Linked DNA regions of Styela clava. The protein of the gene in region 1 binds, or shares a complex with, the protein of each later gene. Links are inferred from orthologs where the notes say so. Each region holds a gene or a part of one and is shown in the gene's direction. Other genes may lie near its edges. The genes, in order: B-cell receptor-associated protein 31-like and mitochondrial fission 1 protein-like.

Region 1 (12,212 bases):
TTTTCCCCCAGAAACGGATACATCACAAGTGCCCAGTCCACATAGCAATGGTTCAGCTTTCAAAAATCAACGCTTTCCGAATGACCATGCACCTAATGATATTATTACTGATGAGAAGCCTGTGGATACATCTTCAACATCAAATCTTCGCAGGCGTCAAAGTGTGGTATGTGTTTTACTGTTGCTTACACAATAGCTCTGTGGGCTGCATGGAATTAGGTGCTTCAGTGGATTGCAAACTTGCTTGTGCTCGTTACGGGCTTTTAGTTTTTTCTGTGTTTATTCTAGTAAAAATGATGGAACTACCCATAATCACAAGATTCATCCACAGTTGTACGGAAAATGCTTCAAACCTTACAATGAAATTTGTTCTTTCATATCTTTATGGTCATTTGTCCTAAACGTATTGACTAAAACTTCTCATGTGCCTATCTTTATCTTCTTATTTTCTTTAATATCATTCAGCAAAGATGTATAAAAGTGTCCAACCAAGCTATTTTGTGACATGTGTTTGGAACCAATAAAAACTGTCAACTTATGAATTTTGTCTTGTGCCTTGTGGTTGAACCTTTACATGTCTACCCACCTCATAAATATTTTATGTGAATTTATTCCATGATGACTTCCAAATTGGTTGGAACTAGTCAATTTCATCTTTGTCTATTGCTAGTATATCATTTACTTTTCAGCATCACCAAACTGTTCCAGTGGTCATTGAAAATGAACAAAATGCAGGTATTTGTTACGTAATATACATAAACTGGAAAATATAATTACAGTTGTGAATTCGCAAAAACTTACAATAAACTTTTCCCTAACTTAAAAGTCAATAATATATGATTTAATGGTTTAAAGCAGCGTTTCTCAAATTTTTTTTTGCCCTGAAACACCTAGTACTGCTTTTAGCTAGCCTTGCGGAACACCGAGAAATTAGAAGGTAAAATTTATTGGTTTTCAAAAAATTTAGCCCATGGTAAAGATTTCTGTAAACTTGACAGATAAGAAATTAGGCCGAGGGTTAACGATAATAAACGTTATCGGTGAGAGTTGAGAGACAAATTTATGACCCAGAGGCGACGAAGTACTGCCGAAATCGCCATGATGACCAATTTGGTCACGATTTCGGTCCCAGTCCAGCGGAACAGTTATGTTCTGGGAAACACTGGTTGAAGGTCATATCAAAATTTGAACTGGCTTCTCCAAAACTATTACTTTTATGCTTTAACCTATTTATATCAAGATACAAGCAAAGAGGCATCAGTTGGAGTAACATCACACAAGCTGATATCTCGTGAAAAGAAGTATGAAAATTATATGTTTGTTTTATTTTTAATATTTTAATTAAATCTACAGTAATTTTAAATGGTAATATTCATTTTTAGGAATGCAAAAAAGCGAAAACTACTCAACAAACTTCCATTCCCCAGATCACAGCTTGCTGGGATTGTACAACACTACTCCACTTTGAAGATTTCTAAGTATATATGTTTTATTCTTTCATGCAATTCTTTATAGGACACAAAATGGCCATATGGGTCTTTTTGCTGAAGCGTTGTTGTTAGGGTGACTTTTTTGGAGCGAAAAAATTGCTTTTCTTGAACTAATGGACCAATTGATATCAGAGTTCTATGATATCCAATATTTCTCTGTTTCATTTTAATTCATATTAACACTATTTTTCATGGCTGTACTCCTTTTTAAATTTGCCAATTTTGTGATCAGCCATATTTCTGCATGAGTTGCATAGGTTACTGCTACTGGAGTTTGCTATTGGATGTTCATGTCCAATTTTCTAAATAAATATGTTTCTGGCGTCAAATTACTTGTAAACTTACATTTGATGACTAAGATAACAATTTAAAGTTAAAGAAACTTTTTTGAGTTCTTTCAATAAGGCTGTCGAACGTGTTTGAGGCATCTACTTAATTTTACTTCAGGGAAGCATTTGAGGAAATAGAAGATGTTTCTCGGCAATATTTTGAGAATACTATGAATGACTTGGAAGAAATCTGTCATAGGAAAAATAAGAAAATAATTTCATCTGAAGATGTTGTAAGACTTATGAAAAGGTCTGTTCCTGAAATAATAATTATTTTCGAAGCATTTTCTGCAAAGTCTCTAGAATACAAGTTTCCGAGATGAAACTGGCGTTTGTTGAATCTAGTGAAATTAAAACATTTCTTCTTTTAAACATATGAACAAAAAATTCCTAAAATCAGGTTCATACTTCGGAATAAATCCTCTGAATTTCATCATATATTCTATAAATGATGCATGCTTCTTTGAACTTTTGGAACTGTTGTTTCGCTTACACAGTAGTCATAATGAATGCGTTCATTTTTAGGCGACAACACTTGACAAAAAAGAAGACATTAAATGCTCTAATAGAGGAAAATCTCTCACTTGAATATAGAGAAGAACTTATTCAAGTAGCATATGCAGGAAATAATATCTTGCCTTGATCGAATGAATAGTGCATGTAGTCATAATATCTTGAGGCCTAATAAGATTCGAGTTCTGTTATTAGAATGTGATTGCCGATTTTCTGACAGATTCATTGCACACCAATCATGAGTGGGTATGATCTGCTGACAAGGGAGAGTATGAAAGGTATGCTGACAACTGTTGAGCATCAACCAGTATTGAATTAAAATAAATTCAACATGTCACTTGGGGTACAATTCATTATTATAAAGCTTGTTTATGTGGTTTTTGTTTTAGTTCATTAAAATTTCGAATATTTCTGAGAATTTGTGTTCTTTTCCAGAAGAAGGGGTTGTACTGCATTCTGAATTAGTTATTCTTTTACGTCAATTTATGTAAGTTCGCGCAAATACCTTCCTATTCTTAATGTTGCGGGTAGCGCTGCATCTGTGACACGCCTCGTAGTTCGGGACTGTTTTACGTAAAAATAGAGCCAAGGACGAACTTTAATCTTTTCCAACCAGTAAAAATCGATCTCGAAGTTGCCGCTACCGGAAAAGCATTGAGCAGTTTCACATTTCTAGAAGTGTTTATGCCACTTGGTTTGGAAACTTTTTTCGATAAAATTTTGTACGTTATAAACGTTTCCCAAATTTTGTTGGAGTATTTCACGTCACTTCTTTTAGCTGTCGGCGTGTAAAAAGTTGTTTACACTTTGCACCCGTTCGGTACAGATCCATGCTGGTTTGTTTTCTTATGGTGCTCACAGTGCGCAGTTTTATTATGGTTATGCCACAAACGCGGTGCGTATAAGGATATAGGTAGGTATGTACCTATTTGTCTTGTGATGTTTTGTCATCATTTCAAATAATTCGCTTGACATCAATTAAATTGACATCAAAGAATATGTATATGATGGCCAGCAAATTATTCACATGACCCGCCGAACAAATCAACGTGTCCTTCGTTGGGTATGGGTATATGATAGTATTATAAAACCGTATCTTTGGAAAGCAGCTTCTAAACTGGGCCAGGCGATATTGCTTTATCAAAAGCCGGTTGTTGTTTCTCGCAGTTCGTGATAATTTCTTTATTTACCTGTGAACAAGCAAGAGGCTGAAACAAAGTGTAGCTGAAGGAAAATGTTAATATCGCAATCAGAAAAAATTTGTGTTGAGTTGTGCGTTTTATTTTGATTTCCCCGAAAAAAGCACACACAGAACAAAACAGTGAACTGGGAGAGCCGGCAAGACCTCTATGGTTCCAAAATATATATGTTCCAGTGTACAGGTGTACACTGCAGACATGGTGGATTCCAATTTAAAATTGTATACATCAAATTGAATATGATTGGGCTGTGTTTATCGTCTGGGATTTGTTTACACCACCCACATCCTGACATTTCTGCATTTAAAGGAAACCAATAACTTGATTGAGATGAACAAGTGCAAATTAGTGCTGTAGTGTCTCACAGTCTTAGGTGAAGAAAACAGTGTCAGAAATCGGGAAATAGTAATAAATTATTAAGGTCATTGAACAGTTTGGTTTGAATAAAAGCCCACCTGAGTGCTGTGGCAAAAGAGAGGTGCAATGTCTGAATGTAGTTCCATATAAAATGCTTGGCCATTTCTTTCTCCCTAGTTCTTGTGTGCTTATGTAAAATTGGACTTTCGAGTCCTTATTCCTTTATTATCGTGTTTTTTCGTTTGCCGAATCAAAAATTCTGTCTCTCCGAAGTATACCCAACTTTGAATTACACAGTAGAAAACCATCAATCTGACAGTTTTCCTAATAAATAATACTCTACATTATTTGTATGGCATAGTGCAATTGTAGTATATATCATCACAATATCATAAGATTATTTTGTATTGCATGGAATTAAAATTATATGCGTTTAAATTACATTTACTTATCGGTATATTCCTGTTCCAGTACTGCTTTATTAAAGTATTGACAACTTCTATAAAATTTATAGAAAATAAACAGGTTTAATACTGAAACAAATGAAAAATTGTTTTTATTCTAGCAAATACCATTACGGTAAGTATATAGTTTGATGTAGAACGATTCGTACATCTTTTTGGACTATGGATACAAAGCTGCCACGAAAAAAGTATTATCGTCAGAGAGCTCACTCCAATCCACTTGGGGACCATAATTTTCAATACCCGGTTAGACCGCAAGACATGGATTGGTCGAGTATTTACCCAGAGTATTGCAATGAAGCCAATGAAAATAACAAGTATAAGGTTGAAGTGGTAGATATTGGATGTGGATACGGTGGGCTGCTGATCAAACTATCCCCTTTATTACCAAATACTTTAATGCTTGGAATGGAAATACGTGTTAAAGTTTCAGATTATGTCCAAGACAGAATAAAAGCTCTTCGAAAAACATCGATCGATAAAGGATCTAAAGATTTCCAAAACATAGCATGTATTCGTACCAATGCGATGAAACATTTGCCAAATTTTTTTTCAAAGGGTCAAATTCGAAAAATGTTTTTTCTTTTTCCTGACCCACATTTCAAGAAACAAAAGCATAAATGGAGAATAATTAGTCCTACATTGTTAGCAGAATATGCCTATGTTCTCGATGTTGGAGGTAAAGTTTACACAATAACTGATGTTGAAGAGGTTCACGATTGGATGGTTCAACACTTCACCCAACATCCACTGTTTGAAAGAGTTGGCGAAGAAAAATTGCAAAATGATGAATGTTACAAGGCAACTTTCAACTCGACAGAAGAAGGACAAAAAGTTGAAAGAAATTCAGGAGATAAATTCCCAGCAGTTTTTGTCAGAATTTCTAACAAGAGCTGATCTTGTTGTTACTACATCATTTGTGCTGCCAATTTTTTTTATTCCATTACTGTTTTTAATCAAATTCCATTTTTGAATAGTCGTGTGTAACGATTTGTAGGCACAAATTCAAGGTTAGAAATCGAAGATATTTTGGGATTTGCTTAAAGAAAATCTCTAGGTTTCCCCTCAGTTTCAAGTTGTCCTCTATTTGGCATGGCAACTTTTTGTCCATCCATTCTGATATACTAGGGAATAGTAAATTTTTCAATTTTTCGCAATGTGAGGGCTATAATTTGCATGTAAAACACGTTTCTTAACATCATTTTATGGTGGTGTACATTTTGGGAAAAGTAGCAATCCAATTACAAGGATCAAGATGTAGTTCCATGAACAATTAATGATATCCATTAATAGGATTTAAGTTGACTTGCTTACTAACTGTACAGCATGTTTTAATTAACAAAGTGACAGTACAGAATGGGAATAAATACATGCCAAATAAGCATGTTCCATCTACCATATCATTCTTCCATACTCAGCATTTGATTTAGTTGTGTGGTATAAGAATTGCTTTGTTTGCAATTTAAGGATCAACCTACATTAACAAAGGATTTTTATTTAGATTGATAAAGCATTTCAAACATTCCAACCATTGTGCCTTTTCCTGAAATTGAGTGGTGGTATGGGTATAATACCAATATATTTCACCACGTGTTACATGCTTTAAGATTACTTCACTCAAATTTTTGTTTCTATTATCCAATTCGCTTATTTTCCAGGAAGTAACTGTATAACTCATAGATAGTTTTAGATATATATTTATAAAATTGTTTATTCACCAATATGACGTTTCAATGGTTAGTTGTGTCGTTTTTCTTATACTCTGAAATAGGATTGTGTGTGTTATTATGTCTACCATTTATTCAACCAAAGAGGTAAGATTTCTTATGATTCATTTTTACAGTATCATTTCTAGTTCTAGACAGTTGTATGCATTGAGCTTGGGACTTGCGGTATCTAGATTCGCGACTTAATCTTAATCCTATATTTCGTATCTGCAAACTATATTTTGTCAATCACTTTTTAATGGCAATTATTTGCAATGGATTGAGCATATTTAATAACAACTGTATTGCTGCAGTGGACCTAGCCATTTTAAGATTTTGAGAAAAACCTAACCCAAAAAATCAAAAAAGTCTATGAGGTTTTAAAATCTAACCCCAAAATAAGGCACCACCTGAAAACAAGACTAAAACCGGACCCAATGATGACTCCTCCCACCTGGTTCATATCGATATAAATTTAAAAACGTCCATTTCTGAAGTATGTGACATAAGCTTCTTTGGTTTTACTGCATGTTACAATGCCATTAGTCCAAATGATTATCATTATAGGAGTGATTTCTTTATAGTCATTCTGTTATTCAAAATGGGTATGTAAAAAACCACAAATCACGACACTTGAGTATTTTTAATTGAACAGTCAATTTCTTGGCCCAGTAAACTTTCATTGATTCAAATGATTAGGATGTATGTCAATGTCAGTTGTCAAGACTGTCTGTGTAATATGCTGATCAAATGTTACGTTTTGCAAACATGGAATATGTTTTACTCATATTTTGAATATTTACACTAGCTTGTAAATTAAAATGGACACTTAATTCTGTTACACTGAATTGATAATGTCAACCATTTTATTTTAATGCTCCACTTTTATCATTTTGCTATATTTTTGCAGATGGCAGTATGTTTTCAAATCTCGTCTGCTAGCATTTTTTGTGACATATGGTAACCTGTATTTTGGAGTGTTCATTGCGGTATTGGTGTTACTTTTTGCAGGTATGGTTAATAATGATCTGTTATTGTAATATTGAACATACTGATATCAATATATCTAGATATTCATTACATCTATATAACAACAAAAGTTGCTTGGGTATATCTATAAACTGTATATTTTGAAGCTATTTTTTAATATTCAGTTCAATCAAAAATCTCGAAATAATGGCACTATATCAAGGAAAATGCAAGATATTCACAACTTATTAAAAGATTGATTCTCTTAAAAACAATCTATTTCAATGTGATCAAAAAAAATGACCTCTAACAAAAATAAGCAAGTTATTTTGCTCAAATTAACAATTCCTAGAAAAAAAACCATTGGTTGACAAGTGGACCTAGTTTTGTAATATCAGATGTATATATTCTGTAATATATTGGTTCAAATCAATGCAACTTTGATTGATACTTTTGTAACCTACAAAACGTTGAATAATTTTGTAGATGCTATACGTGAAGTGCGAAAGTACTCTATTCCAAATGCTCAACAAGTGGATCTCAAAAATAATCCTAATGCACAGGATCATGTGTTGATGATGCTATTCAGAGCTCAGAGAAATTTGTACATCACTGGTTTTGCTTTGTTCATGCTGGTGTAAGTAACCTATTCCTATTTGGTATGTTTTTGACAATTTACAAGGTACTGTGACCGTCCATAAAAAAATTTATGATATTATTTCGACAAAGTAAAATGCATTGATTTTCTATGTTTATGTTAGAGAAATTTCATAATTTATGTACTTGATAATTCAACTTCATGATCCCTAGATCGCTATGGCGACCAATTTAGATTTCTTTTTCCATGGAACACTGGGAAGACGCTCGCGAAACACAGTTTGGGAAAGCCGCGCTAGGCTATCACACCATCTAAGCTCACCCAAATGAGTGTAACCTAAAACTCACTGACTACCTAATTCACTAAGTTGAATCTAGTTGTTATATTTCACTTATATTCTTTCAAGGGTTCTTCGTCGTCTCACTACATTAATTTCTGACTCTGCTACACTTATAGCAAGTAACGAAGCAATTAAAAAGCAAGCTGAAAGCGCAAGCAAAGCTGCAGAGGTAAACACTTTAGATATCAATATATTTGCGTCCACAAGGTAAAGAGAATGTTTAAATTTGTATGCGTTATTTGTTTACAGGCGTTGCTGAAATCCAAGGAAAACAAAGATGGCAGTGATGTTGATGCGGTAGATGTAGAAGAGCTAAAGAAGGAACTTGATGAAGTGAAAGAAAAATTATCTGATGCTAGAAAAGGTTTGATTTTACTAAATTGCACAATCTCAATAATTAAAGTCAATACTTTTCAATAATTGTAAAAAAAAATTTGGGGTGTCATTACAAAATTGTGACAATTCGCTCACCCATTACCTAGTCCAGGGCGGTGCAATGTTGTCGGCTCCAGTGGCCACAAAATTAATTTGGCATTGTTCGTGGACCACAATAGTGCCAAGAATAGGTAAACAGTGCAACACAGAATAAACACTTTTATTGTGAAAACACATTGATAAGTATGTTATTTATCAAGATCAAAAACCACAGAGTTGTTTGGCCATAACATTAATAATTAGTTATCAGGCATAGCCAACATAAGCCGATAGAATCCACATTCGATTTTTAGTTTTCTATGATGCCAAAATTGTTAGCATATATTTTCGACCAAAAAGATAAAAAGCCAGATAAGAATTTGGGCTGCCAAGCACATCATTCAACTTGCCGCAGTTAGCCATACCACTAGTCAATTCAGTGACATTAGTGATGTAACAATAATATGTCAAAAGATTTTTCTCGTTAATTTTATGACGAAACAACACCAAATGCGATTTTTTAATTACTCATCGAATTCGACGCGGGCCAGAGATAATGAAGGTGTGGGCCTAGGTTTGGACCACCCTGACCTAGTCGATGCAGCATCTTTTCAAAAGATTGCGTTGTTCTCAATCTATTTTTCTCTTATCTTACCATGTTAATAGTTCCTTTTGCCACTGATAAAAAGTGTGTTGATGTTTATTAACCTACATATACCATAATAATTTTCTGGTACTTTTGTATTTAGCTGAAACGAAAGCACAGAATGACTTGAATGCAATGAAACAACAAGCTGAAGGTGTTACGAGAGAGTATGACAATCTAATGGAGAAGTTCACTGAACTGCAGAATCAAGTTGAAGGCAGTGGAGATAAAAAAGATGAATGAAGTGATTTGCAAGCTTACCAATGCATGATTTTGCGGTACTTTCTGATTCAATATTGCTTGCTCTGATGCAATCAGAAAACTTACTTAAGAATTAAGGACATTTTAGTATATAATAAATTGTATATCATACTGTGGAGAAAAAAATATGAGACTCTTATATGGGTATCTACTGAAAAAAAAAAAGGATATAAATTGGTGTGAATCCCAACATATTATCTACAAAAGTTTTTCAGAATGTTTCATTGGTCATCCATGGACATTCGCTATTATATCATTCTAACCAAATATTCATATGGAGAAGTTTTCACTTTACAGTCTGCATATGAGCTGTAGTGCACTTCATTATAATATCTTGCTCATATATTGCTGTTATAAATAGCTATTTGCTGATGTTGTGCTTTTGAGTAACTTGCATGCATGTGTATTATGTTCATAATATCTTCTGATTTTACGTGAATGAGCTAATGTTTATAATAGCCTGAAACTGATATATATCATTGTCTGTGGGATTTAATGTAGTATCTATATTGTTCATTGATGTACATAAGCTGAATAAAAGAACTGCCTTCACTATATTATATGAAGTAAATTTGCGACATTTTTTGTGGTGCTGAATCGTTTGTTAGTATTTAAATTTACGTTGAGGGGAATGGGATCCTGTGGGGCTAATTGTGTGCAAGAGGATTGCTGGACCCCTCGCCAGCCGTTGTCAAGTCATCTGAAACGAATAACTGGCGAACAAACCCCATAGCAACATGTACTAGAGGAGAGAAATACCCCATATGCTTTCCCCCCGGATAAATATGTAAATCCAATTCGAGTAAAAATTCTGAAATGGTTCATGGTCATTGCAGAAACGAGCACTAACTATGTAATATGGTTTGGAAGAATCTTCCAGTTTCGGTGCAGCCGACCCAATTAATTACGCTGCGGAGATGGGTTTGGACCAGCAGTGTCATCATGGATGGTTATACCTAATAATTTGATAATCACTAGGTTGCTATTCGAAACAAATATTGACTTCATAGTAACAGAAGTTGAATAACAAATGCTCAACATTTAATACCTTACACTACAATAACCCCGAAAATCAAGATCTAACCATAGCTACATCGGATATAACCAATTATTCCAACCACATAACTCCTGCAGGACAAGGGACATATTACTGATAAAGTTATATAATCACACAATTGGAATATTTTTTGGTAATATTGTATGCTACTTAACAACTGCATTGTAATACCTACGCAAGCCGCATAGGCACACCAAATATGGAGTATTGAAGTTTTATTATATATTTTTTGACAGAAATATGAAAAAAAAGAGTAGAGTATGGTCAATGGCATCAGAAGTTATTTACCGCATGTTTCATTAACACTATCATAAAGAAGTGAAGCTATGTGCCAGACAAGCAAAGACAAAAATTAATAAAATAAATGATGAACAACAAAAGTATTTGATTAACTTACAAATACAAAATTGCAGCAATTTTAAGACAGATAAACCATCTGGAGATTCTGCAAACTTTTTAAAAACAGATCTCAAACACAAAATATAGATGTAGTTGAATTGGTACGTAATAATGAATACAAACGAATGTTGAAGTTATAAATGGTTGGAGGTGATTCTTTTAAGCAATGGAATATATTTAAATACTGATCGAAGAGTTGGAATATATAGACTATTAATAGTACTGGACTGGAATTTAACAGCAAAAAAGATAACCAAGCTAGAAAAAAATAATTCATCATGTTACATTGATGATTATCAGCACAACAACACTCCATATTTTAAGACTGCCTTATACCATCTGCATTGTTGTCAATAATGAAGAAAACCAATTTTTGTTAGTTATTTTTAACAAGGCACTGGGCAAGCAGAATCTTGATTGGGGAGACATTAATTTTAGAAGCATCAACCTTAATGCCTGGATAATCAAGTTCCATCACACTCTAATTTGTAGTTCTCTGATACGCCTTGTTATTATGCATTTGGTGAATTACATGGTAGGTTTAGTAGATAAATACAACACTAGTTTGATTGTAATAATGCCAACGAAATATAGATGTTCTAGAACAGGGGTCGGCAACCTACGGCCCGCGGAGCAATATAATCCGGCCCGCAACGCTTCACTGAATTATAGTAACAAAACAGCTGTTTAGGCGACCATATTCTTTACGTAACAGAATTTATTTTGAGATAGTGTAGACTAAATTATATTATAACCTAACAAGTATATAATTCACAATTACTCGTTTAATGAGCCTGTAATTTAATTATAATTAGACAAATGCCAACGAAACGCAGAAAAGTTGATGCTAAGTGCAAATGGTTTAACAGCGCAGAAAATATTCAAATGGTCAGTCTTCGCGCGCTGCTTAAAATCTAACTTCTGATCTGTGTGATAATATGTGATTCATCGACCATCCGTTCGGTTTTTAACTTTCTGAAAATATGTGCGGCCCACCAATGACTTGCAACCTTAAATTTTGGCCAGTGAGCGACAAAAGGTTGCCGACCCCCGCTCTAGGAAATAGGTAAATTTAACATGTTAATGGCAGAAACAATAAATTCCTCCACTAGATGCGAGAAAAGTTCAATAATACACAAAACACAAATATTTGAAATGTAAATAAAAAATGCCCGAATGAAATCCTGGGCTGCTGAATTTGAGAAGATTTCTTACAGATGTAGAAATATGAAGATAAATAAAACATTACCCTATGTTTGACATCTTATATTTAATTGAACATTGATATATGTAACTTTTCTAATGGTATATGATATGAACTAAAGACATGTAAAAGAGTATAATATTTTCAATCATTGAAAAAAATATGTCGGCTTTGCACTAAATGTTTACCAATGATGATCTGAAAATTTATCGGACAATCTGAAAATATGTTTCACTTTTGAAGATTTCACTTGGTCTCGGATTCAA
Region 2 (11,183 bases), on another chromosome or scaffold:
CTGTGTCTAGATTGCTTTGTTCCTGACTTTAAGCTTTATTGATGCACAAAATAATGGGAAAATTATGTTTATTTAAGGCTATGAATAGTAAGACATATCACTTAGATTTTTAATTGTCTTCAGTGTTAACTGAATGTAAATAATAGATTCAAAAACTTATCTGTTTGTGTTATAAATTTTTAAATGAAACACCATTTTTAAAAACAATACATTTTTATTATCAATTCTTATAAAGCAATTACAATCATAAAATTTTTTTAATTTGGCTTTACGACAACCACTATGATAATTGAAAAATCTATATTAGTAAGTCAAAATAAAATATGTGGAAAGTTTAGGAATAGTCTAGGATGGATTACATTTCTTTCCACTCATGTCGGATTAACTAAGCTTTAATTTATCGTAAACAAAACATAGATATGCTGACATTTTCGGATTAATGGAAAAATAGCGCAACAAAACAACAACAAATTCATTAGTATCATGATCTGAGTTTAAAATTGACGTAAAAACGAGAAAAGTCAAAATACCCAAAAAATTCCACATAACAAATAATACGTACGTCAAAGGTAGTCGCAGTTTGGAAACTGAAGTTTCTGTGACGTTAATAAATGTCAGGACAGTATAAGGCATTCGTCTTATAGGCTTACTGACAGGGACTAAACAGATTAATGGGGAAAATAATTTGAATGTTTAAATCAAGAATGAAAATGCAATGACCAGTTACCATTAAAAGGGTTCAGGAGTATTGCTTCACACAGATACAAATATATTCCTGTAACATTTTTCATCTGACAAAGGTCGGACTTGTTCTGGCATACATAATTCAAAGTTGAAACATAACAGAAATGTATTTGTTTTAGCATGCAGTGCTACGACTTCCTTGCATTACATGCATAAGGATCAACCAAAAGCATAGAGGTATAAAACGTTCACCCCATAGAAACCCAATTGATAGGAAAATTTCCATTACCTTATAAAATTTTGCTGAATTACTTGAGGCAGATTTTCCATTGTTATCTTCGTATCGTGTCTCAATAAATACAGTTAGTCTTGGGAGAAAATGGCACTAAAATAGCAAAAGTGGATAGCGATCAGTTTACATAACCATTATTACATACCTAAATATAATTTTTACTCTATACTCTATAATATAAACATACTTGACGACTTAACTGTCGTCAAGTATGTAAGATTGTTTTTATACATGTAATTAGGCCACAATGAGATAATTGAAATTTACCCAGGTATGACACATTGAATTAAAGTTGAAGCAACTGAATTTATATACCCTATAAAAATTTATAAATATGATAGATGATTATTAATTTCGACCCTAATTAGATATTTTGACCCTAATTAGACTTTTTCACCCTATTGACCTATTTGATTATAGAAAGTGGATAATAACATAATATAGAATAAAATTACATGTTTTTGAAAAAGCTTGATAATTTATGCTTGAAATTGTTTTCATAATACAAATTTGTAAGTTGTGAATTTTTTTTAGTTGATGGTGATAAATAACATTTTTATGTTGAAGGTCAATGCTTATGTAACATGAAACACAGATCATTAAATAATATATTTCTGCCAAAGAATTGAATTTGAGCCAACCACACTCTCTAAATGTAAATTCAGCAGACCGAAAAAAGTGTAACTAATCATAAATGATCCGTGACGAATGTCTTGATATTTGAAAATCAAAATCTTTCATCATTTCCAATTTCATCTAATAAAATATATCAGTATTAGCAGAACCACATATAATAAATCTTAGTTTTACCTTTACGCTTTATGAGCAGTCATATAAAAATTGAAAATGTAGTTTCAAGGCAATAAATTTTTTTTAAATATATAAAATGTTACTTACTGAATATTCTGTTTTCATCAGCATGGTCATGAAAAGGAAAAACAAAATTTCAATAACATTTAATATTAATAAATTTATTAACAAGGAGAAATGTTGAAAAAATATCAACAGCTTTAAATTTCAAAATGATTGAGGAAACTAAAAAACATAAAACATGCAAGCAGACAAATTTGTTATAGACTATGTATGATTAATGGCTATTTTATATATAGCCTACTATGAAGTAAAATTGGCATATTTCATAAAAGCATTTATCTGTACAAATGAACCTCATTTAATTCTCAAAGGAATTATTGGTGGTGGTAATCTCATTACTTCAATGTCTATCAGCTCTATTATTATTGGCTTTTAACAGGTATGGTGCGAATATATAATTCCCATCGGAATTGTTAACATCAGTCATCCAATCGCTTCCAGCACTAATGCTTGCTAATTTTAGAAAAAAAATTTGTCCGTTGGAATGCTGAGTAGTTCATGGAAATGAGTTTCAGGCATTGTCATTTTATTCTGAGATTTCAAATTATTTTTCAAGCATGAAAAACAGATGTTACATTTCCTGGAACAGCATCTCCTACTGTGATTTAGGTAGCCTAATTGCAAGCTAGTTTATTACATTTCACACCGATTTTATTCAATTTGTTATGAAAACATGCCAATGTATATATAACTCCTAACTATTGAGTTTACTGAAAGGGCTATGCTGGTGAAAACAACAAACACAAATGCTAGGATTATTTAAGTGTGTACGCGCAAACATTTTTCCTTAACAGTAAATAAGTACAAAGTTTAAATTTAATAGACAAACAAACAGTATATACTTTCACTTTAGTTATTTTTGACATCAGATTAATTATTAAATGGTTGATGCTGTTGCAGCACTTGAATATATGCTAGTTCACAAGATTTTTTCAATCGAGGTCATATAATTCCGCAATTTCAAGTTCGTTTGGGTGACAAGATGAGGTTCTCTTATAAAATAGATAATATAAATTTATAAACCTAATTCAAGTATTATATTAGTTTGATTGAAATAAATTGACGATCAAAATACATGATACTGGAAAGAATTTGCATACCTGTGACAGTGTAGGGATAATAATTCCATGCTTTTTCTGTGACATATATTGAGGGCGTGACAGCTCGCGCCCAGGAAGGAAGGCGTCTAAAATTATAATAATATTTTTAGAATTGATCGCGGCTGTGCTTATAAAAAATTAAGTGCACATCATTCTTGGAATAAGTAGTGTAATGTCTAGTTCGAAATCCCAGGATTTTGTCAATAGTGATTATTGATGTTAATATGCAAATAAGGAGGTCTTCTGATACTTTATTAAAGGTATTCCCGAAGTATGTAAACCGATGGAGGACACCGGAACGTAGTATGTTAGGATTAGGTCATAATTTTAATCAAATTTTCCTTATTTTAGTTCTATTACGACTTACGAGTTCGGGGACTAGCCAAGCGACTCCCAAAGGAATTTGTACCTGAAATTATACCCTAACCCTAACCTGGTACAAACTTCAAAAGATAAAAGATAAAATAATTTAATTCATATTTTGCGATCATACAAAAATTACAACACACAGGACAGAAATTCAACTGAGGTTTATAACATGAGACATAAAAACAAAGAGTTTCATAAAAAACAATAATTCGAGTATCAGGATCATGATACATGTAATAGATTGCAATAATCTTGAATTTGAACTAAAAATCTTGTGACATTTGATTTCAATGCAATAACTACAGACTAATCCAAATTGTTTTTGACCTCTTGGGGGATTTAATGATTGAGTGAGGATTTTACATTTGAGCAGAAAATTTACAACAAGTGATAGATAGCATTCGATAGATTATGCATTTTCTTGATCGTTGGAAATTAAATTAGAGAGCTGAGAGCTCTGAAGTATTTTTGTTCCACAAAAGAAAACTTTCAAAAAGTCATGCCAAAAATAGTTCTGCACAGTCATTGTCATTCGAGCACATACATAGAAGAGACATAGCTAAAATGGATCGATCCAGAAGATTGATTCAAGAAAAAATACGATAAAAACGAGTTTTTTATTGCTTTATTTTTAATTTCAAATAAAAAAATTTGGAAGAATAAAACAGGAAATAGTAATGAAATATCTATTGCATAAGCAAAGTTACGAAAATAGCAAACGTTTCAATATCGTTGCTTTCCACAAATGGATTGGTCAGGCATACATTGTAACATTCTATGCATTAAAATATCATTAATTATTTAGTAATTTTCGATACAGACTGCCAAAGCTAATATACCTAATACAGAATTAATGGAAACTATTGATGTGGATTACTTAGTCAACAACATTTGGCAACTCACAAGGCCTAGATTTACCGCAATGATAGGCCGAAATTACTACATATTTTGACATTTTGAAACTTTAGACAAAAATTTACTTATAAAATAGTTTTTATTTAAAATGTTTATTTATGATCATTTTTGAAATTTGGCACAAGTATACCATAGTTTTGTTTCAAAACAAATCTGGTTTATTCCATTTAAAAAAAATGAAATAAAATTAATGCAGATTAAGGATTTCCCTAATTAAAACTCAGCAAAAAAGAAAGAAAACAATAGCAAAATGCTATAAATTCAACTGAAAACTAAGCCTTAATTAGGCATAATTGCATTATAGAATACAAATCTGCCTTGCAGCAATTAAAGAAACAAAAACTAAAAACCAAAGAACAGGCTTTTGTGCTTTTAATTATGCCACTTATTCAGCTAAATCCCTTTTATCAGACAGACAAAGAAGTGATCTCAATCTGTTCAATTTCCTATGGCTAAATTAAGCCTGAATACAAATTTAAATAATTGATTCAACTATTCTATACCTTAGCACATAGGTTCTCAAAGTGCTCCGTATGGAGCCCCAGGGCTCCGCGAGAGAAACCCAGGGGCTCCGCGAGCTATTCGATTACTTTTTAAAATACTGAATTGGCTAATTTTACTATTAGGATTACTAAAATGAAAGAATACTATTCTGAAATAACATAAAATACACGATAAACTGTCAACTATACATAAATTGCAGTCGTATTTTTGCCATCTTGAGATTTGTCAAGTTTGATTTCGTTCTTTTGCACTCACGAGCAAGATATCGCCGTTAAAAAAAACAAGAGGTCGGTGCAAAATACGAAAAATTGAAATTTATTTCATTGCATGCGACTCTGTCAGTAGTTTCATAATGGAAAAATAGGTACATCGCGCGCACAATTGACTGTGTTTCGGTTTCGCAGTTACTACCGCGAATAACCAAAGAAAACCCAACATGACACCAAATTTTTGATTTACAATGTCTATGAAAGCGTTTTTAATCTGACATGAGTCTGCTGAAACAAAACTTATAGTGTTATCTCCCATTTTAAGCTTTAGTTTTAATATTTTAGAATGCCGCTTTTCAATCGAGAAATTTGAGTTGCAGATTTACTTTTTTATTATTTATTATTTTTAGCATTTCGTGTCCGATGACTATAGTACGGTAACATGTTTTTCACATTGAACGCATAAGTCCCCACGAGAACAAAAAAACAATACTCGTCGTCATTGTGGAACAATATATGTATATGTCGAGGGAAATTTTTGATTTAGGGAGAATAAACACCGCCATGCTGACGAAAACAATCGGCGATCGTAACAAAATGCAATCGAGTACATTATTAGCGGCCTTTTAAGTCTATCAAAAATGTTTAAAGGGAAAAGATCCGACCCCTAATTTATTAATATGTTTGTCAAGTGTCAAATTTACAGCTTTAGTATATATAATTTACCTTTTACATTTAGATTTATTTATGACCTGTTTTAACCCTATTAAAAGAGGTTAAGCATTTAAAACAAGTACAGTACTTTTAACTTACTCAGGAATATTATTTGGAAAATAACAATTTTAACATATACTTTGGGGCTCCGTGAATATTAGTCAACTTTTTCAAGGGCTTCGCAACACAAAAAGGAGAACCCCTGCGTAGCACATTTGAAAAATGCTGAATACAAAGTAAAAATCAATGCTACATCACAAGTCAATGCAAATAAACTTTTTCCATTTACAAAAAACTGTTGGATGAATGGAAATAAACCTTTTTATTAAAAATCAGAATTACTACAGTAGTACAGTTAGTGGGTCTCGTGTAGTTTTTTACCTCAAGTTCTCCTAGTGGGCATAGTATAACCGCTGACTACGACATTTAAAAATTATGTCACAATCGTGTCATAGAAGTTGCCAAAGTATACCTACGATCGCCTGAAATGGCATTTGCGCCGACGATAAAGAATTCACTAATGGCAGTGATCTCTCACATATTGGGATCGTTGTGATGGCAAAACAGGTGATTGCTTACGCGTCTTTGATAACAGTTCGTATAGTATTAAGGGCCTTATTATGTCAATGTGATGTTGTAGTGACCTAACTTTTGGATGACGCGGTAAAGTGGGGTTAGAATGGACATATGCAAAAAATTGTTTTGCTACGCCCACTAGAAGTAATTGAGATACGAAACTAAACTAGACCCCAGTTTCCGCATGAAATTTACTTCTGCATATGCGAATTGAAATCAGGTTATCTCTTGAATAAACCAGTATGTTTCTAACATCCTTGCATCATGATTCTCTTACCTCATTTTATTAAATTTCAAACCCACACTATTTCCTACAACTTTTTTTTCTTTGTAAAGATACTTTAAAAGACATCAGGTATTTCTGTATTCAATGTTCAAAATTTAGTGCTAATATAGAAAATGAACTAAATTTCGAGTAGGGGTCTAATCTGATTTTCAAGTAGAAGGGGAAATATATGCTACAGGAGTGGTGACTCCTCTACGGCCCATGGGTCGGGGCCACGGCCCATCTAATTGGGCCACATGGGCCGTGGCCCATCAAGCTATGGGCCGCGGTCCCATCAGGAAAATTTCAATTATCTTACCAAAATTTTCAATTTTTACAAAACTGTCAATATTCGAACAAAAAAATATACTCCTGTAGTATGTGTACCAGGTTAGGGTTAGGACAAAAAAAATTCAGATTTTTTACATTATAGTTCTAATATGAGTTCGGGGACTGTCTGTGTTAGCCAAGTGAATAGTCCTTTTACACAACTTGATGGGCCGCGGCCCATAGCCTGATGGGCCGTGGCCCCGGCCCATGGGCCGCAGAGGAGTCACCACTTCCACTCAATATATGATGATACATAATGCATTGAAAAAATTTATGAAAAAAAATTCTTACGAATTTAAATGAATCCTCTTTTCAGTATATTTTCCATGTCCATAAACCTCGTCATAGTGTGGCTCATTGCAAACTACTTCTACTCCTTCACCAGCTTCACTTTGTTCATCACTATGCCGATTTATCATATATTGTTGACCACGTTGGTACTGCAGATAATGAAAAAGATCAAAACATTTTGGAACTGATGTCTGACAGTACGGCACACTATTTTCCCTCCATTTGGTTCAATGAAACAAACACTCCATGTGTCTCACAAACGAGGAGTGTCCGACATGACGGCAGATGAGTCATATCGCGCCATGCTTGTCTCAATAATAATCTAAAGTAGGCTAGTAATCGTAAAAGTAAAAATTTCCCTTGGTAAATCGGATTATTTTTTCCCGAGGAATTCAATGATGACGTTTTTAGATCGCGCTTCTTTGTAGTATTTTGCGCAACTTCATTATACTGTATTTTTACCTCCCAAAAAGAGGGGTGTCCGATCATAGGTAAAATGTGTTTCCCTGGAACGAGGCAATGTCGCTCGATCTGTATAGTGTGACGCACTGTCTGAATATTACATAAAAAATACAGTAATATGCTTTCAGCTTCATAATGAATAAATGAGTCAGTCAGCTAGCAGTTTATTTTTCACAAAAATGAACATAGTCTACACTTGATGCAAACAAAAACTAAGAAAAAACACAAAAAAGCCAATTGTTTGCTTTCTCACCTCTTCCGTGGTCAACGGCATGCATATTCGATACTCCTTCAATAACATGACCCCACATGTACCATACGTTCGTTATCGACAAATAAAACTATTGCTATACTGCTATAAGAAAGCTTCACCAATCTGTTGAAATAATCCGCTGCAATCGTCAGATCGTAGTTGTGCACTCGAATGAAAATCCGAGGTCAACATTCGCAAGTTTATCAATAACGAGAGAAGCTACAATAGCGTGAGAAAAAATATTAAAACGTGACGTTCAGACGAAAATAAATACGAGAGAATATAAACCCTCCGAACGAACTTACTACCTAGCGCCCCCTTCCGTTGTTGTTTATGACAGCCTTGAGTAATTTTTAATATCATTCATTGCTTCACAGCAAATTTATTAGGACGTTTTTAGTAGTGTAATATAATATTGTAGATTGAAGCGGATCAGTACTCACTTTTTTTTATCAAACCACTTACCTGTGTCCGCCTGATCCTTACTCGCAAATTGCATATAAAAATAATTTTTACACCAACAGTACCCAATTATGCAGTATCAGATGAGTATAAATTCTTTTTTGTTTCATTTTTGACACAGATCATGCTAGCTTTACAACAGTGTATTAAATTTAGTATACTCAGCTCATTGGTATACTACACGATAAGAGATTAAATGGCAATTACCAGACCGAAACAATTCGTTTTTTGCTCATGCCACAAAACCTGCAAATCAAATTGGCGCACATCAGCTAATACTGAGACTTGTTTTCTATGAATTCAAAGAGCTTGAATTGAACCGGATTTGCAACTAGTAAAAATACATTTTCCACAATGAACGAATTTCGATAAATAATGATATAATATGAATGTCATATTCATTCACACAAATATCAAGTAAATAGGTTTGGTGAAAATTTAAACAAAGCCAACCACAATGTACTTCCAGATAGGATCTGATAGTTGAATAATTGACAGATATAAACACTCAACCACTGGTCAGTTGTCGAGTCAAAATAATAAAACCAAATTTGCACAGAACCCAAGATCACCCACACGTGACATCACGTGAGGATCGGGGTTTCCCCAGACGATAGTTTGCCTGTGACTCTCGAGCCACGCACCGTTTCTCGTTTATTCATTTATTGGAGTTTGTCTAATTTTTAGTCAAAAGACTACTAACTTTCGATAGGGAGGTATGAAGAAATTAGGATAAATGAGTTCTGGAATCCGTGTGTCAAATCAGAAAGAAATTTTGGATAGATTTTATTGGCAGTTTTGTTGACACCAAAGCGATGAAAACAAGGTATACCTATTTGTATCTAATAATAAATATAGGGGAATTTTCGACAGGGAAGTAAAAATTATAACAAAAAAACAAAAAACCCACAATAGACATATCTGAATACTACGTAGTATTTTGATGTCATTATAGGTTGGCATGATATGGCGGTATTGTTACTTAGATTGGTAATTGAACTATGCTTCAAGTGTGCCGAAAATAAAATAAGGCTTGAATAGAAAAAATCTGATAGTAGTGTTTCATGTTGAAGTTATTCAATCATATTGGCTTCTTCTATAACCCAAAGTCATGAAACTGACCCTTTTTAAATATAGCTAAAAATCAGTTCAAATATGACCATATATTCAATTTTCATTTGAAACTTCAATAATAATGTTTCGGAGTCATTTAATAGGCCTACTTGTTGAATAATTCAATATTTTTCAAGATCTGCACTAAGTAGAAAATAATCGGTGGTTGTACCTAAGTATATATATAGTTATCAGTAGAGGTTGCGAGAGACTAACTTCCAATCCCTCCTTTATTTAAACCGCATGATTGTTCTTTTCTCGTCGTTGTTGTAAACTGCTTGTCTGAGGAAGTCAGATTCTGGTCAAAAGAAACGTTGCAGAAACACATTTGTGTTAGTGTACAGCAGGACTCTCGAATTGCATAGTATATATATAATGTTGTAAAACATTCTAACAAACCTGTATTTTGTGACCTATTACTCCTGTCTCTGTTTGACTGATGTTTTTTAAATTGTCTTGTTTATTTATTTGTTTTAGAACATACCGTAATAGATTTAAAACAAAGCTTCCAACAACCATGGAAGAGATAATTAATGAAGTTATCGCAACACAAGATATTATGAAATTTGAAAGAAAATACAAAAAAGAAGAAGCCATTGGAAAAGTAGAAGCAACAACTCAGTTTGAATACGCCTGGTGTCTTGTACGTAGTCAATATAAAAATGACTGGAAAAAGGGAGTTGTATTATTGGAAGAACTTTATCATACTGGAGATAATCACGCTAAAAGGGATTATATATTTTACATTTCTATTGCACATTACAAGCTAAAAAACTATGAGCAAGCTCTCAAGTTCTGTAAAGCCATATTACATGTTGAACCACAGAATCACCAAGCAAAACAACTTGAAGAATTGATAAAGAAAACAGAAAAGAAAGAAGCTATGGCTGGAATGGCTATTGTAGGTGGTGCGGGTCTTGTTGTTGGAGTGGGTGTAGCTGCTTTAGGTGTTTTGGCCGCTGCTCTTGCATCAAGGTCGAAATAATGTGTTTTGTGACTGTTAATGATTTAATTTCTTCAGATCTTATTATGACATACATTTGTAAGCTTATGAATTGTTGCTGTATCGCACTGTGGCCATTTAAATATACAATGACTAGGTATGGTCCACAAAAGTATGTATTTTTTGTTTCACTAACCAGAATCTTGCCTCACAAAATACAAATAGTGAGAAGCAATTAAAGTATTGTATGTTTAACCTAATCTATTGCAAACTATTATTCATCAAATCTATATGTACAGTTTTGTGTAAAAATTATGGAAATCCTGCTCGGCTGATTTTGTGTTTTTTTAATAGTTTCAACATCACAGATCAGTGGTAGAAGCCATGCAGGGCACTATTTGACCTATCAGGACTACAAAAATCACACAGTCTTGTTATCTGAACCTTATTATAACCAGGGCCAGTTTGAATCAAGTTTCAGCCACTAAAAATTCTACTCCATCTATTTTGGTATCAAGTTTGACCCCAGCTACCAAGCCTTACTCTTTGCCTCCAACAGCATACCCATACAATACAAACAACAAGTTAATAAAATTGTCTATTGTTTAATGGAAAATTAAGCGACGATCGCTTCACACTGACCATTATTATTATAATAACAATACAAAATTGGAATTAATTCAAACTAATGAAGGCCGTTTCGACATTCTTTATATAGTCAGAGAATTCGTCACTGGATGGAAATTCGCTCAATATCAAAGCACCAGGCATCAAATCATCAATCATATAACATAGTAGTATAGGCTTTTGTGAGCGTTTAACAGGAAT

The links.
Region 2: the proteins of B-cell receptor-associated protein 31-like (region 1) and mitochondrial fission 1 protein-like are in contact, whole or in part, in a crystal structure (PDB 8XWX), measured with the Homo sapiens proteins. The link is inferred for Styela clava from reciprocal best matches to the Homo sapiens genes BCAP31 and FIS1. Residues at the interface, in NP_001132913.1 of Homo sapiens: Asp224, Leu227, Glu228, Ala231, Lys232, Ala235; in NP_057152.2 of Homo sapiens: Arg52, Val56, Glu59, Glu60, Pro63, Lys64, Lys89.

Annotation. Positions count from the first base shown.
Region 1 is NC_135258.1:14,497,155-14,509,366, forward strand, and holds B-cell receptor-associated protein 31-like, read left to right. Parts: upstream 1-5,931; 5' UTR 5,932-6,074; coding exon 6,075-6,166; intron 6,167-6,968; coding exon 6,969-7,069; intron 7,070-7,513; coding exon 7,514-7,664; intron 7,665-8,031; coding exon 8,032-8,134; intron 8,135-8,214; coding exon 8,215-8,329; intron 8,330-9,128; coding exon 9,129-9,268; 3' UTR 9,269-9,864; downstream 9,865-12,212. Other genes in the region: uncharacterized protein LOC144427174, read left to right, coding at 12-166, 690-735, 1,241-1,301, 1,383-1,478, 1,938-2,069, 2,345-2,462; tRNA (guanine-N(7)-)-methyltransferase-like, read left to right, coding at 4,515-5,249. UniProt on the Homo sapiens protein: Functions as a chaperone protein. Is one of the most abundant endoplasmic reticulum (ER) proteins.
Region 2 is NC_135253.1:11,885,047-11,896,229, reverse strand, and holds mitochondrial fission 1 protein-like, read left to right. Parts: upstream 1-8,984; 5' UTR 8,985-9,114; coding exon 9,115-9,125; intron 9,126-9,889; coding exon 9,890-10,397; 3' UTR 10,398-10,683; downstream 10,684-11,183. Other genes in the region: cytoplasmic phosphatidylinositol transfer protein 1-like, read right to left, coding at 974-1,069, 1,874-1,881, 2,950-3,035, 7,123-7,271, 7,838-7,885. UniProt on the Homo sapiens protein: Involved in the fragmentation of the mitochondrial network and its perinuclear clustering. Plays a minor role in the recruitment and association of the fission mediator dynamin-related protein 1 (DNM1L) to the mitochondrial surface and mitochondrial fission.